2 linked regions of the Oryctolagus cuniculus genome follow. The protein of the gene in region 1 purifies or fractionates together with the protein of each later gene. This does not show direct contact. Links are inferred from orthologs where the notes say so. Each region holds a gene or a part of one and is shown in the gene's direction. Other genes may lie near its edges.

Evidence for each region.
Region 2: the proteins of VASP (region 1) and PFN1 purify together in Homo sapiens (affinity purification with western blotting; 3 studies listed by BioGRID and IntAct, with this or other methods). This does not show direct contact. The link is inferred for Oryctolagus cuniculus from reciprocal best matches to the Homo sapiens genes VASP and PFN1.

The regions. Positions count from the first base shown.
Region 1 is NC_091449.1:11,379,504-11,387,132, reverse strand, and holds part of VASP (vasodilator-stimulated phosphoprotein), read left to right. Parts: intron 1-1,353; exon of another isoform or gene 1,354-1,525; intron 1,526-5,010; coding exon 5,011-5,182; intron 5,183-5,263; coding exon 5,264-5,429; intron 5,430-6,053; coding exon 6,054-6,138; intron 6,139-6,437; coding exon 6,438-6,478; intron 6,479-6,579; coding exon 6,580-6,794; intron 6,795-6,909; coding exon 6,910-7,010; intron 7,011-7,370; coding exon 7,371-7,422; intron 7,423-7,494; coding exon 7,495-7,531; intron 7,532-7,629. UniProt on the Homo sapiens protein: Ena/VASP proteins are actin-associated proteins involved in a range of processes dependent on cytoskeleton remodeling and cell polarity such as axon guidance, lamellipodial and filopodial dynamics, platelet activation and cell migration.
Region 2 is NC_091448.1:51,291,429-51,299,821, forward strand, and holds PFN1 (profilin-1), read left to right. Parts: upstream 1-4,052; 5' UTR 4,053-4,907; coding exon 4,908-5,039; intron 5,040-6,457; coding exon 6,458-6,650; intron 6,651-7,245; coding exon 7,246-7,343; 3' UTR 7,344-7,598; downstream 7,599-8,393. Other genes in the region: E3 ubiquitin-protein ligase RNF167, read right to left, coding at 8,170-8,393. UniProt on the Homo sapiens protein: Binds to actin and affects the structure of the cytoskeleton. At high concentrations, profilin prevents the polymerization of actin, whereas it enhances it at low concentrations. By binding to PIP2, it inhibits the formation of IP3 and DG.

The DNA.
Region 1 (7,629 bases):
GGCCTCCGGACCCCTCCCCGCCGGCCCGCCTTTGTCCCCCTCCCCCCGCTCGGCCCGGGCTGGACTTCGGGGACCCGCGCCCTGGGGGGGGGGCTCGGGTCTGGGCCGAATCGTCTCGGACGAGCTCGGAGCAGCGGCCGCCTCCCCGTGACCCGCGAGCCCCGGGGTGGGCGCGGGCAGGTTCTCCTGGGAGCCTTCAGGTTTGGGGGCGCTCGGCAGACTCCCGAATTTTTTTAGAGACTTTTTCTGAGGACCTCCAAGTTGGCAGAGACTCCTCGCGGGGATGCCGGGGTGCAGGCGGCTCTCAGGACCCGCCCAGACCGCACCTGGGGGGGTCCTGGAGGGGTGGCTGGGGGCCGTTCGGGGAGACCTGGGACCTGGAGCGGACGCTGAGACGCGGATCCTGATTGGGAGGGTCCCCCGTTCCAAGTCTCCCCAAGTGGGGCGGGCCGCGCTCCTAACTTCGGGGTGCCGCTAACCCCCTAAATCCGGGGGTGCGCTGGGATCCTCCCCGGGGTGCGCGGACCCTCGGGCCGGGCGCAGCCTCGCGGGGCTGCTCGGGGCTCCCCTCCCCCGTCGCTCCACCGCGCATGCTGTGCAGGAGCCAGGCCGTGCCTAGGACGGGGCGAGCGCTCGCCGCTCGGTGCCCAGGGCGGCTCCCGGCGCCGGGCCAGCAGGGCGGCCCCGGTCCCCACCTGCGCGGCCCCGGGCGGGGAGGGGGCGCGGCAGCTGGGGGGAGGGGGCCTTTGTCTTCCTGACTCACCTGTCGAGACAGCTGGTGTGGGGGGGCGGGCTCGCCCCGCCGCGGCCCCTCCCCCCCGGCGCTCGGGAGCCGTGGGATTGGAGGAAGGGGCGCGGGGAAGCGTCAAGGTCACAGCCTTCGCCCCCTGGGACCCAGGCCTCCCGAGAGTTCGGCGCTCTTCCCAGGAATTTAATCCTGGGGGGGAGCGGCCCGAGGACCTGCCCTGGACTCCTGGGCTCACCTGAAGGCCGGGCCGGTGCGGGCTGGGGGGGTACCCACGGCGGCCCTCCCCGCTCCCCGCTCAGGTCCCCCATAACCTCTCCCGTGGGGCTGGAGTCTGACAATACTATCTCCCTTCCTCCACTCTCTCTGGGACTTCCTGCCCCGAAGCCTCAGCGCTGGGGGTGGGGGGGCTCCTGGGGACGGCTGGGGATTAACCCCCTGGTGCCCAACGTCCTGCCCTTCCCCCCGGGCCCCCACACCCCTGCCCTCTGACCTCAGGGTGGCATTCCTTTCTTGGGACCATTAAAGACCCCCTACCACCCGCCCCAGGGCTGTCTTTCTGCTAAAGGCTGGGTGGAAATTCTGGGGCGAGGGGGCATCCCCAGACACCCTGGGGACTTCCTGCCGGTTCCTTCCCCATTGCGGGGCAACATCCCTTCTGGGCCTGCCCCAGGGGCTGCCTGCTTCCCTCACCCTCTCCCCCCTCCCCCGGGACTCCGCCCCTCCCCCCCAGCGTTTCCGGTCCCAGGCCCCGTGGAAGGCGGATGGCGGATGTCCGAGGTAGGGCCGCCCCGCTCGCTGTGAGACCGACCGTAAAAGGGCAGGAGCAGTGTCTGGCCCAGCCCCCTGCCCCCGCCACCCCCAGCCCTGGCCCTCTCCCAGGGCCCCCTCCCGCTGTGGCTGTGGCCGTGGTGGGGCCTCCTACCTCCTGGGGGATGGCAGGAGTCCGACCCTGGCCTGTCCCACCAGAGGGTCTCCCCTGCTCGCTTACAGCCGACTTCCTCTCCGACGGTCCACGCCCCCAATCCCGGCCAAGGAGCCGGATCCTGCAGAAATTCCCAGGCCAGGGCGCCCCGGGGCAGGAGGCTGGGAGGGTCGGATTGCTGGCCACGGCTTGGCCGGGGGCAGCTCAGCTGGAAGGGATGGAAAATCACAAGACCAGTTCTTTCTCTCCTCTGACAAATATTTGTTGAGTGGGACCCGGCGCTGGGATCCTGGGGGAGGTGGAGAAGGGGCGGGAGCCGCTGGGAAGAGGGGCTATGCCTTAGCGGGGTAGCAGCTATAACTGCTCTTACTCGAGAGGCGACGGGAGACCAGCTGGTGAGCACCTGCCCGGTGTGGCCAGCCTGTCCCGGCTCCGAGCCGGCGTCCTGGCACAGTTTCAAGAGGCGGAAGCTGTTACAGCCTTGTAGTCACCCCTGCCCCCAGTTTGCAGCCGGCCGACCTCTTAGGCTGTCGCAGAGAGAGGACAGTACAGAGAAAGTGCGGATGACGCGTTTTCCTTGCACAGACACGCGGGATGGTCCAGAGGTGTGGTGGGGGCCTGCCTGGGAAGCCTCGCCTGCCGACTTCCCAGTGGGAGACAGGCCGCACAACCCCCAGAGACCCCCGGGCTGGGGGGCTGGGCCGGGGCCGGGGCTCCGGGTCGCAGGGCTCTGGCCTGGAAGAATTTGTGTGATTGTGGTGTCTGAGCGGGTGACCCCCAGAGGCGACTCATGGGCAGGGGGACCGAGGCGCTCACTGACAGACCCCAGGGGACCACTGGCGTCCCTCTCCCTGGCTTCCTGCCTGTGGGGTTTCCCGTCCGGCTTTTGCTGAGTTTATTTATTTTTTCCCAAACGTAATCAAGTAAGGAATTAGGTCTCCACAGGTCATCCCAGCCCCATCATTTAGCAAAAGGAAGAGTGAAGCGAGGGCCCCGTGCCCACGGCCCCCAGCCCCCAGCCTGCCTCCGCCTCCCGCCACAGCGTGTGACGCTGTTAGCAGCCTCCACACTTTTGGGGGAAAGACAGACTCTTGAGCCACCCAGCCTTTTCCTCATCTTTCCGTGAGGTTAAAACGTAAGTGGGCTTGGAGTAAGTGGGCTCGCGTCTTAAATGAGATCAGACAGGAGCCCCGGTGCTTTCGTGCAGTGTGACCTGGGCCAAGTGTCTTCACCTCTCTGTGCCCGGGCAGGCAGCGGGGTTGGTCTCCTGAGGCTGTGGGGTCGTGGGAGCCGGGAGCGCGGTCTGGGCCGCCAGCCACTGTGCCGCCGGGTTTGCCTTTTTACTCGGATGTGTTCAGAGCGTGTGCTAGGCGCCCTCCAGGTTCCGGGGACGCAGTGGTGCGCAGAGGGGCGAGTATCCCTGCCCCGCTGGACCTGGTGCTTTGGCAAGGCAGACAGGCGCGTGCCAAGCAGGGACGCTGCTGGAAACCGTGTCGCGGGGAAGCCGGAGGAAGATGAGGTGGCCAGGGAGGGCTTCTGGGAAGAGGTGACGTCTGAAGGGGGCTGCACCTGCACAGGGCTCGGGCAGGCCTTGGTCAGTGGGCGCTGGGAGAGGAGACTGGAGAGCAGGCAGGGCACCCAGGCCGGCAGGAACCTGGTGTGGATCCTGCAGAGTGGGGCATGGTGCTGCCCCTCCTCTGGGTCTCAGCCGGATCCCTGTGCTCTCACGGGGCAGGAGTCGGAGCCGCCCAGGGTCGCCCAGCAGGTGCCTGGCCCCGAGGCCAGGCCAGAGCCTCAGCAGGGCAGGGCCAGCTGGGAGCCCAAAGTACAGCCAGGGTGGGGCAGTGGCCCCGGGCGCCGGGCCAGAGCCTGCCCTGGGTGTGGGTGGCAGGTGTGGGCGCGGCCTTAGCCCTACCTGCCCTGCCGGGGGCAGTGGGAACCAGAAACAGCCCTGGAGGCCTGCTTCTCTGGCTTGCACCTGGTGTTTGGGCAGGGCCGGCGCAGTCCCCGGGGGGCAAGACTGCGGACCTGGGTTCGAATCCTGCCCCTGCCGCTGCTTTAGCAGTGTGTGCGGGGGCGCATCCCGGCCCTGGTCGCCTCTGAGCCGAGGGGGAGGTCATGTCCGCCCCAGGACTGCCGTGAGGGTGCCAGGCTGGGCCGTGTCAGTGGTCAGTGTCACACCCCAGCACCCGCCCGGTGGAGACAGAGCCTCTGTGGGTGTCATTCCCCGCCCCCCCAGCCGCCAACTTCCTCTTTTCAGGAAAAACCCACGGTGGGGGGCACCCAGCCGAGGCCGGCGCTTCCCCCTGGGCTGTGCGACCTTGGGCGAGTCACTTCCCCTGGGGGAGCCTGGGGTTCCTCATTGGGGGAGGGGGGCTCCGACCTCCCAGGAACGGTGGGAGGTCCCCGGCCGGCCACAGGGTGACCGCAGCACGGAAGCCGAGGCCGACCGGGCACCCAGCCCTCATTTCCCGTGTGCAGGCTCCGGCCTCGGGGCTCTGCAGGGACTTGAATCCACGCCTGCGGACGGCAGACTGGAACTCTGACCCCCTCCTGCAGAGTGGGCAGCAGGCCCCGCGTCCTCCATGCCTGTAGCCTGGGCGGCTCCTTGGTCCAAGCCCTGGGCATCACGGCCTAGGGACCCGTGTCTTGAGGCACTGGACTGTGAGCCCTGGGAGGGTGTGGCCAGGGCCATCTGGGCCACTGCTGTGTCATTGTCCCCAGTGGCACCCAACACAGGCCCGTAGTGCCCAGGGGAGCCGGAAGGATGCAGTGGGGGCCCGGCACCCCCTTGCAGTGGAGAGCAGGGGTCTGTGCTGTCCCCGGCCGGCCACAGGCCTCCCCTCCCCCTCCCCGACCTCAGCTTCCTCTTCTGCTCTGAGCAGCAGGGGGGGCATCCAAAACTTGGCAGAGAGGGAAACTGAGGTAGGGCTGGCCCCAGAGCAGCTCAGGGCACCTTCCTCCCTCCCCTGCGTCTCCATGTCTCCTCTTCCTGTTTCTCCCCATCCATCTCACACCCCCCAGGGCGCACTGGTCTCAGCTGCCCCCCGTCCAGCATCTTCTCTGCCTGGGTCTCCTGGGGGGGGGGGCTGTGTCACGCCCTCTCCCCCTCGCAGCGTCTCCCAGGGAGACCCTGGTGGCGAGGGTGACCCCGCCTCCCCTGCCCCTGGTGGCGAGGGTGACCCCGCCTCCCCTGCCCCTGGTGGCGAGGGTGACCCCGCCTCCCCTGCCCCTGGTGGCGAGGGTGACCCCGCCTCCCCTGCCCCTGGTGGTGAGGGTGACCCCGCCTCCCCTGCCCCTGGTGGCGAGGGTGACCCCGCCTCCCCTGCGCCTCCCGCAGTGAGATGGTCGTGTGCACCAGCCGGGCCAAGGTGATGCTTTACGATGACAGCAACAAGCAATGGCTCCCCGCGGGCACGGGGCCCCAGGCCTTCAGCCGCGTGCAGATCTACCACAACCCCACGGCCAATTCCTTCCGGGTCGTGGGCCGCAAGATGCAGCCGGACCAGCAGGTGCGCGTCCCCCCCGATCCCCCCCACACACTGGGGCCGCCCCCTGGGCCACCGCCCTCACCCCGCTTTCCCTGCCTCCAGGTGGTCATCAACTGTGCCATCGTCCGGGGCATCAAGTACAATCAGGCCACCCCCAACTTCCACCAGTGGCGCGACGCCCGCCAGGTCTGGGGCCTCAACTTTGGCAGCAAGGAGGACGCGGCGCAGTTCGCCGCCGGCATGGCCGAGGCCCTAGAGGCCTTGGAAGGTGGGTGCCGGCCGCCGGCTGGGGCCTCGGGTTACCCATCTCGAAAATGGAGCCGCTCGGTCGCTACTGTGGGACATCACAGGGCTCCTGTGTGGACTCCGGAGGACGCAGCCTGGTCCCAGCCCCCAGGAGCCCCCGCAGCCCGTGCTGGCTTCTGTCACCAGCCCCGGCGTCAGGAAAGCCTCCAGGCCTGCTCTCCCAGGGCTCACCTGGGGAATGTGGGTGGGGCCCGAGACTGCACAGCTCACAGCCCCCTGCGATGCCAGGGCTGCCAGCCCTGGACCTGAGGTCAGCCGCTGACCTCCGCTGCCCGCCCTGCCTCTGGGGTGTGGCATAGCCACTGTGGAACCGAAACTGCCCACACACAGAGGTGGTTGCGACTCCGGGCCCCCTGGCCACCCGGGGCTGGGCAGGACCGAGGGAGGCAAGGGGGAGGGGTCCACCTGGACTCGGCTTCCCCACTGTCCCCGGGCGTCCTGGCCGCCCTGGCAGGGGGAGTGGTGTCGCCCCTGCCCAGGGTCTGGGGGAGGAAGGAAGTGAGTGCCCCTGGGTGGGATTCCTGAGCCGGGTGGGGGAGGCCACAGGCAAGGCTGACCCCGGCTCTGTCTCCCCTGCCACCCCCAGGAGGTGGGCCTCCGCCGCCCCCAGCACCTGCCGCGTGGGCCAGCCAGAACGGCCCCTCCCCGGAAGAGGTGGAGCAGCACAAAAGGTAGGGCTGGCCCCTTGGCTGGGGGCCCTTACTGCCAGATTCTAGATGTCCCAGCATCCTCCGACGTCCAGTTTCCAGAATGTTCCAACTCCCCAGGGACTAGGAGTTGCCCGCTTTTGGGAGCCCCCACCTCTGAGACTTTAAGAAAATCCCTGGCGCTCAGAGACGCAGGACCCCCAGTCCCCAAACCCTCGTCCTGAGAGGACCCCGGGTGTCGGTGACAGTCTAGAACATTCCCGCGCCACCCCTTGGGCCCTGCGGAGGGGCCGGGGCGGTGGTGACCGCAGTCCCCCCCACAGGCAGCAGCCGGAGCAGATGGAGCGCCGCGTGTGCAACGCAGGTAACTGGGCTTGCGGGGGTGGGGGGCGGGCCGAGCCCAGAGCCCCCCCTGGAGGAGGGGCTGGCTCCTCTCTGAGCCACCCCTGCTCTGCCTTGTTTCAGGAGGCCCGCCTGCTCCCCCAGCCGGGGGCCCACCCCCGCCTCCAGGACCGCCCCCTCCGCCGGGTCCCCCCCCACCCCCAGGGCTGCCCCCGGCAGGGGGGGGCCCACCCCCTGCACCCCCTCTCCCCACAGCCCAGGGCCCCAGTGGTGGGGGGACTGGAGCCCCCGGCCTGGCCGCAGCCATTGCTGGAGCCAAACTCAGGAAAGTCAGCAAGGTGAGGGGCCCGCGGGGGGGGGGGGGGGGGCTGGCCCTGAGGTAACAATGGGCTGGGGGCTGCCTGTCACGGGAGGCCCACCCGCAAGCCCTCTGCTCCCTTTTACCGTCCTCAGCAAGAGGAAGTCTCAGGGGGGCCCCCGGGCCCCAAAGCTGAGAGTGGCCGGAGCACAGGCGGGGGGCTCATGGAGGAGATGAACGCCATGTTGGCCCGGAGGTGAGCCTGGGCCCACCCCCCTGCCTGGGACCCCAGCCCTGCAGGCTGGCGGGGGGGCGGGGGCGGGGGGCGGGCTCTGGTTCCTGTTTGCTGCTTGTGCTGAAAGCCCTACCTGTGGCGCCTGCGGAATGTTCTAGAAACTGACTCCTAGGATTTTAGTTCCCAGAGTCCCTTCCCCCCTTAGGACGTTAGGGTTCCAGATGTGAGGGCCACAGGAAGACCCCCCCCCATCCCAGCTTCCTTAGCCTTGGCCGTGCAGCCCCCCCCCCCCCCACACACAAGGGCCACTTTCTAGAACCCTGGGCCCGCAGCTGCGAGTGGGGGGGCTGAGGCTTCTCTTCTCGTCCCTCCCTCCCGCAGGAGGAAAGCCTCGCAGGTTGGCGAGAAGCCCCCCAAGGACGAATCTGCCAGTGTGAGTGAGGGGCTCGGTGGGGTCCCGGGGCAGCGTGGCGGGGCTGCTCATGACGGTTTCATTTCCTGCCAGCAGGAGGAGCCAGAGGCCCGCGTCCCGGTCCACAGCGGTGAGTGCCGGGCGGCCCGGGGGAGGGGCGGGCCTCTCCTGGGGGTTTCTCTGCAGAGGGGCTGCTGGCTGGGGGAGGAATCCTTTGCCCTGACCTTG
Region 2 (8,393 bases), on another chromosome or scaffold:
TGGAGAGTTCCTGAGCTGGGTGGGGGGTGGCTGGTCGGTTAAGTCTGCCCGGGTCAAGGAGACCTCGTCCAGGGGCTCCTCGCAGTCACGATGGGGTGGGAGGGGTCCCTCCTCTTCTGGTAAGGAGGTGGCAGGACATGGGCTCTGCCGGGCTCAGAGCTGAGCTGTGTGACTAATCACTCTCAGTATGGTTCAGGGTGGTCATCACCGCACGGGGAATGTGTAGGTGGACTCTGTCCCAGAGTCAGCTTTTCAGCCTCAAGCACAGGGAGGACAGAGGCAGCTGGAGACCGGAGGCAAGATGGCCAGCCGCTGGCGACTGGGTCGCTCTGCTTGGACAGGTAGGCCACCGTCTTTGCCATGGTCCCAGTGTTGTGTCAGAACCCTTAGTGCTTGTTTACCTCTCCCGTGTACAGAAATGTTGAAGGGCTTGGTCACATCTGGGAGGCCGAGGGCTGGGGCTGTCTACGTGGCAGCCTTACGGGTGTCGAAGGCCTGACGATGTTCCTCTGTGAGGACAGAAAGGGAAGAATGCAGTCCTCACGAGGAGCTGGTAGAGAGGCCTTGCAACCAGCGACAACCCAGGGACCCCGATGCCGCCGTAGCCTGCTGTCCTGAGGGGCTCAAGGCCGTGTGTGCAGCCTTTGGCCTTGGGGATGCCGCACACTGCCCGGGGCTCGTGTTCCTGGCGAGCTCCCAAATCCCAGGTATTGAACAGTTTGACTAGTTACCTGGGCCTTTTTCCAGGACACTTTGGAGCCTGCCTCTTCTCGCAGCGCTGGGAGGGCCCGTGCTTCCTGGTCGCAAGCGGCCTGTGTGGCCAGCGGAAGGCCATCAGCAGACTGTGGAACTGTGGCTTAGCGAGTCTGCAGGAAGTTTGTCAAGGTCTGTCGCCAGGGCTTCCACAGAGAGGGAGAATTTTTGAATCCCTGCGGCCGCCCTGTCGAGGTGAGCTGTGTTTTCCTGCCCTTGGCAGTGTCCTCCCATTCAAAAGCGAACAGTGGCTGGTGGACGGGGGCCACTCGTAGAGAAGAATGCATCTTTTGAATCTAGACAGGTGAACCAAAGGGCCTTCCGTGGAGCCAATCCCCAAGGGGTGTACAGGTTGGGAACTGCCGGTGTGGTGTGACCATGGCTGTTTATGGCTCATAGGTCCCAGACTGCCTGGTATCCCGCACCTCCTGGCTGCTCAACTGGGGACAACGGAATGTGCCATTGAGTCGCACGTTCAATCAAGACTCACAGGCGGGTGATGAGTTCTTTGATCCCACCCTGGCCTCTCCGGGTGTGGGGCTGCTCCCGGCTCGAGGTCAGCTATGAGGGGTGCATGGTTTCTGGCTAGACCAGGCGGGTTGTCCTCAGCCCAGACCCGGGATTTTCCCTCTGGAAGGCCCCTGGATTGGCTTCAGGGCCTTTTTTCTCCCAGGTCTTATATTCATCCTCCCGGCATGAAAGAGAAGAAGGGCAGGGTCTCCAGGTAGGCTGCTCGCAGAGTCAGGGGGTCTGGCCCCATGGGCCCTGAGTTTTCTGAGGACATCCTGTCCTTGGAGAATGTCATAGGGCACCCAGGGATGTGGAGGAACTCATGATTTATTTAATGGCCACCCAGGGTACATGTCGTGCCTTGAAGAATGTTTTCTCAGTTGGGCGCTGGTCGCCCTCACGGATGAAACAAGGACCAAAAAGTCTTAGATCCATGTTGACCTCTCACCTGCACAACAAGCAGGCTCCCAGTTCTCTGCGCTGCTAATGCAGCCCCAGCCTGCCCTGACCAGCCCTGCTCTGCCCCTGCTGTTGGACATATCACTGTCTAGCAGTCCAGCTGTCAGCCTGAGCGTTCTCCCCCAGCTCAGCATCTCAAAGGACCTTTCGCGCCAGCCCAAGCTCTCCCTCTCTCTCCCCAACCCCCTTCCTGCCACTCTGTACTGTGTAAACCACTAGTCTGTAAGGGAGGGGCTTGCTCTCTGCGTGCTCCCCTCCCAGGCTTTATTCTGAGTAAACCTGCTCTGGGGGCTTCATGCTCGGGCCCCTTTTTCCTGACACCCACGACGATGACAGTCTCCTCTCCCAGTGAGTTCCCACCGAGTGTTCAGCTCCAGTGTCCGTGGTGTCCGTCACTGAATGATCTTCTGGGGGGCCAGCCAACATGATTTTTTTTTAAAAAGCTTTATTTAATTGAGAGGTAGTTACAGACAGAGGAAGAGATAGAGATCTTCCATTCACTGGTTCACTCCCCAAATGGCTGTAACGGCTGGAGCTGGGCGGATCCAAAGCCAGAAGCTTCTTCTGGGTCTCCCACGTGGCAGCAGTCCAAGCACTTGGGCCATCTTCCACTGCTTTATCAGGCCATCAGCTGGGAGCTGGACTGGAAGAGGAGCAGCAGGGATTCAAACTGGCGCCCACATGGAATGCCCCCGCACCACAGGCTTAACCCACTATACCACAGCATTGGCCTCACCAACCAACATTAAAAGAAGGACATTCAGTTGTCCAGAGCCTACCACGGGTTAGCGTCATCCTCACTAAAACCCTTTTTGAAGTTTTGAAGGGGGCTGGCACTGTGGTGCAGCAGGTTAAACCACCTCCAGCAGTGCTAGCATCCCATGTGGGTGCCAGTTCGGGTCCCGGCTGCTCCACTTCCAATCCACCTCCCTACTATTGTGCCTGGGAAGGCAGCAGAGGACAGCCCAAGTCCCTGGGCCCCTGCACCCAGCTGGGAGTCCTGGAAGAAGCTCCTTGCTTTGGCTTGGCCCAGCCCGGGTTGTTGGAGACATTTGGGGGGTGAACCAGCAGATGGAAAATTTCTGTCTGTAACTGCCTTTCAAGTGAATAAATAAATCTTAAAAACAGGAATAATACGTTTTTAAGCACGCCGTCCAGCACAGTGGCCTTAGAGTAGGACCCACCCATCTTATGACCTCCCTGTGAGCAGGGCTGCAGGACAAATGAGGGGCGGTGCCTCCAATGGGAGACCACTCAGACCTGTCCCACCACCTCCCTCACGGGAATTTAAGGGCCTCTGCGTCCTTAACTCCCTTTCCGCACCTAAGAGCCATGTGAGGAGCACCACAGAACCGCTGTTTCAGACCCACTTGAGACCCTGGCTTGCCCCGGGGGGTAAACACACTCAGACCACTAGTGCGCCCAGGAGCCGCTGTACAGTCACACATAGCGTCTAAAACATTCCCTCCCTCTGAGGGTCAGACCTAGCCTGAAATCCAATAAAGGATTTCCCGGGGCGGAAGGGGGTCCCCCGCCTGCCCGCAAGGGCCGGCCGCTCAGACTTCAGTCCCCGGGCACTCTTACCTGCTCCGACGGTCCCGGGTCTCCGGGAGCCCGCGTGGGCGGCAGCGGCCACCTTCGCCGCCGAAGGGCGGACTCTTCCGCCCTCAAAGCCTAGGGGGTGGCGCCTGGCCGCCCGGCCAGCTGTGGTCACCGCTGCCGCGTCTGGACCTGGAGCCCATGGCTCAAAGGGCCAACGCGCCCAATGGGACCGCCGAGAGACCGGAAAAACCAAGCGGCACTCGGACTTGGGGGAGGAAAGGCACACAGGGTATTACGCATGCGGACTGGACTCCCGTCCCACGTGTCGAGCCCCGATTTTCAGCTCTGCTTTGCTTTTACACATTTTTAAACCAGGAAGTTAAAAGTTACAAGGCAGTCCACGCAGCACGCAAGCATTCAGATAACTCAGGCTCGCAGCTGCGTTTCTCAAGAGCAACCTAAGCCAAACCTGGTTCGGAAACTGTTTGCTCTGGGTGCGGTCGAGCAAGCGGAGTTTAAAGTCCCTGAAGTCAGCAGCAGCCTGTCCCAGACAGAGCTGGCCAACCTAAGTGATGGGGGGAGCGGGGAACACCCCGAGAGGGCCCCGACAACGGGACTAGGGGCACACTGCTGGCCCGGAGCCGGCCGGGGCTAGGCCGCCGGGTGAGGCCCTGGGCCGGCCGGGGCGGATCCAGCGAAGCGATGCTGCCCCGGGGAGGGATGCGCGCTAGGCGGGGCGCGGCCCGGCCAGACGCTGGGGACAAAAGTGCCCCCCGGTGGGTGACCGCGGCGCTGACCACGACCGGGACGTCTCATCAAAATGCCTCCTTAATTGCTTGAAAAAAGTAAAATTAGGAGGGGAGCGGCGGTCGCCCGCACGCCGCGGGGCGAGAGACACCACCCCGGCGCGCCTGCCTCCCCACAAGGGTCCGAGGCGGTCCGGCCGGGCGCGCGCCCGCGCAGACCGGCCGCCGGCCCCAACCGCCGCACGCGCTCCCGCGCCCGGCCCGGCGCAGGCGCGGACGCACGCGCCGCCGCCGCCGCCGCCGCCCGCCGCCCCTTCCCTCCGGCGGAGGTGGGGGAGGGAGGAGTCGTTCCGTTTAACCCCGGGTTCCCCGCACTCGCTTTGCTGCGCCCAGCTTCTGGCCTGCTGACTCTTGCTCCTCTCTTTTCCTCCCTTCCTTTTCTCTGGGCTCACTCCCTCGGCCGGTACCGAAGTGTGGCTTCTAGCAAATGCGAGCGCGGAGCGAGCCCTAGCCTTAACCTCTCCCCATCACACCGGCCTCCCCCCGCCCCATCCTTTTACATAGCTTTCCATCGAACTCTGCACATTTTGCAGTAGGGGGAGGGATTTTTAAAATTGCATTTGCAAAGTTCGGTATCTGGGCAGGCAAGGCGGGGGGGGGGCAGGGAGGGAATGGGGAGCAGGCCCCGCCCCTACCGCCCTTTGCAAATAAAAATCTAGGGGGGGGGAGGAGCAGGAAGTGGCGGTGCGAGGGCTGCTGCACAGCTAGCAGAGCCGCGGTCCGGACGGCAGCGCGTGCCCCGAGCTCTCTGCCTCCCCCCGCCCGCCAGCCCGAGGCAGCCCGAGCCCAGCCCGCGGCCCCAGCAGCAGCGCCGAGAGCAGCCCCAGCAGCAGCGCCATGGCCGGGTGGAACGCCTACATCGACAACCTCATGGCGGACGGGACCTGTCAGGACGCGGCCATCGTAGGCTACAAGGACTCGCCCTCCGTCTGGGCCGCCGTCCCCGGGAAAACCTTCGTCAACATTACGGTACTGAGAGGCCTGCGCGATCCGGGGCACCGGCCGGGCGTGGATCCCGAGGCAGGGACTTGGGTGGGGGCGGGCGCGGTCTAGGGAGGGCAGCGAGAGGCCGCGACCGGCGCGAATGGCGGCTGCACGTGAACAGGTCCCTCCGTGGCCGCCCAAGTCCTACACCCCGGGCGGCGGCGACCATTGCGCCCGCCGCCCCGCTTTCCGCGACGGGGCGTTACATCCGGGGCACAGGGCGGGGAGGGGCGCGCCGCCCGGCGCGGCGGCCCACTTCCGCCTCGTCCAGGGCGGGGCGGGCACGCGCTGCAATTTTCACCAAGGATTGTGATTGAGGAGGGACTTGGGGACCCCCGCGGGCCCCCTTCCGGCCACCAGCTCGCGCCCCCCCACCATTGTTCCCCCTCATGCGGCAGGGAGCCCCCGGCGCGTGGCCTTGGTCCCATGCCCGTCCACCGTGGGCTCCCTGCCCCTCCCGACTCCGTTAGAGAGGGCGAGGCCGCCACACGCCCCCCCCCCCCCAGCTCGGCACGTTGGGCTCCACATTCCTGGGAGGCCAGTCCCGGAAGTCCCCTCGCCCGCCCTTCCCGCCATCCGGCCGGGCCTAGAGCGAGGGAACTTTGTGAGAACTTCGCAGATAGTGTGAGTGAGGGAAGGAGGGATGGCCACTGCTGGCTCCACCGCCACCTCCCTGGCCACACTGCCCGGAAGTGGGGAGGGGGAGCGGAAGTTCAGAAGGGGGGGAAGGGGATTTCCGGGCGGGAGGGGACCGGATATGGGGGTTTGGGGTGTAAAGGGGGAGGGGGAGAAAGGTTCCCTGGGGTATCTAGAACCGGGAGCCGCTTGGCGAGTCTGGCCCCCAGCCCCCTTCAGAACTTTCCCAACTTTCCCCCAGAAAGCCCCCGGGGGCTGCTCCCGGCTCGCAGGTCAGCGATACCCAGGCCTCGACTCTAGGTTCCTGGGAGACCCTGGCGTCCGGGCCCCTAACAACTCCTGCAGAACCTTTGACCAAATAAGGGCAAAGTTGCCTCTCCTGCCTCGCCCGCCCCCTCCCTTCCCCTCTCCGCTTCTGCTTTTCCTGACGGAGAGTTCTGAGCATCCAAAGGCTCCCCGCTCTGCTCGCCGCCTTCTGGCCCTTTTTATTCCCTGGGTCTGCTCTCCGCATTCAGCCACTGCGCTCTGAGCCTCCAGGGGACCGTGGCATCCCTTCCTCCTGGTCCCGGTGGCTGGGTCTGAGGGCCATCTGTCTGCACCAGCTGGAGTTCCTCCTGAGAGTCTCACTGAGGGGATGGAAGCACAGAACACCTCATCCTTTCCCCAGCCCGGGTTCCAGCTCCCACAGGGGTCGAGGGCACGTGGGCTCACAACAGGGTGGGAACCTTGGGGCACTGACTTAATGGGTGCTTGGTTCCCCCTTGCAGCCGGCTGAGGTCGGTGTCCTGGTTGGCAAAGACCGGTCAAGTTTTTTCGTGAACGGGCTGACACTTGGGGGCCAGAAATGTTCTGTGATCCGGGACTCGCTGCTACAGGACGGGGAATTCACCATGGATCTTCGCACCAAGAGCACCGGCGGAGCACCCACCTTCAACGTCACCGTCACCATGACTGCCAAGAGTGAGTGGAGTCTTACTCCTTTTAGCTCTGAGATCCTTAGCGTGCCCCCCTTCTGCTAGTCCTGTGGGTTCTTTCTCTGTGTGGTTCCCCTGCATGAAAGGGTCAGACCGGGGTTCTCCCAGTGTGCTGGGACACTGGTTAGTCCCCACCCGTTCTGCCTCAGTTCCTCATCGGATACAAAGTTGAACTGCAGTACCTCTTAGGTTCCTCCCTCTCTTGAGCTGTTCACACTAGAACCTAGAACCGTGTGTAAGAGTGTGTAGATTGTTGGTCTTCAGCCAGCATTTAGCTTTCACCTTTTGGGTTCTTTCGTTTAAAAAGTTTATGAAGTGGCAGGCTCATACACAGCCATTTGTAGCTTGAACACAGCCTGCAGCCTGAGCCTCAGACCCCTAAATTTGGGTCTGTTCCTCTCCAACATTTAAGCACACCCCCTCCCTTGAAAAGCCCTATTGTTTCAGGGTGACTGACAGCCTGCCTGTGTGTGGGGGGTTGGGAGGGTGAGGTTGGGTTACAGCCTCCAGGGCTGGACAGCTGCTGAACAGCTGGCAGGGTGGGCTGACACCTGGGTCCTGGCCTCCTTTCTCTTCTCCAGCGCTAGTCCTACTGATGGGCAAAGAAGGTGTCCATGGCGGTTTGATCAACAAGAAATGCTATGAAATGGCCTCCCACCTGCGGCGTTCCCAGTACTGACCTCGTCTGCCCCTTCCCCTCCACCGCTCCCCACAGCTTTCGCACCCCTCTCCTTCCCAAATACACACATACACCATTTTTATTTTTTGGGCCATTATCCCACATCCCTTATTGCTGCCAAAACCACATGGGCTGGGGGCCGGGGCTGGATGGACAGATACCTCCCCCTACCCATACCCCTCCTGTGTGTGATTGGAAAACATTTTTTGTTTTTTGGGGTTTTTTTTTTCTGAATAAAAAAGATTCTACTAACAAGGTGCTGTGTGATTTTGAGCATGGGTGTTAGGATGAGGGATAGGCACTGTCTTGCCTCTTTCTCTGGGCTTGGGGAGAGGGTGAAGCACCGGAACCCCAGACTGGGACGAGACTCTGCCTCAGGTCTGCCTGCCTAGCCCTTCCACGGCCTCGGTTCTCAGGCACGCTAGTGGAACTGGTGGGTGACAGAACAGAGCCGTCCAGACGGAGAATGGGTCCAAGCCTGCGGGTAAGGCAGGGCCAGTTGAGTCATCCTCATGTGGGTGGGGCTCCCCCTCTGAGTCACAGCAGATGCCTGCTGGGGCTGTCCCTATGACTACAGGTTACTCCTCCCAGGCTCCCTGCCCCCTTCACAGTTCACCTCTGCGACAATAATCTATCCTTGGTCCACAAAAACAATTTTATTAACCCAAGAAGTGAAGATCCAGTCCCCTCGCCCCTACCCCCTCAAAGGATGAGGCTGGGTAAGGGAGAAACCCGGAATGGAGAAGTCCCCTGTCCCTCAATTTAGAAGAGCAGAGGGAACAGGGCCTGTGCAAATAGGTCGCCAGAGGTTTGGGAGGGGGAAAGACTAGACCAGGATGGCGGGCAAGGAGGAAGAGGAGGAGGGAGACGGTGGGGCATCTGTTGAGGGCCCAGGAAAAATGAGGGGAGCTGGAGCTAGGGAACCAAAGGAGGTGGGCAGAGTAGGGCTGGAGCCCAGGAGCGGGGTCCGCTCTGAGGCAGGGTGATCTCTTGGCTCCCCTTCCTCATCGCCCTCCTCTTGCCCTTGAGTTTCTTCCTCCTGCTCTTCAT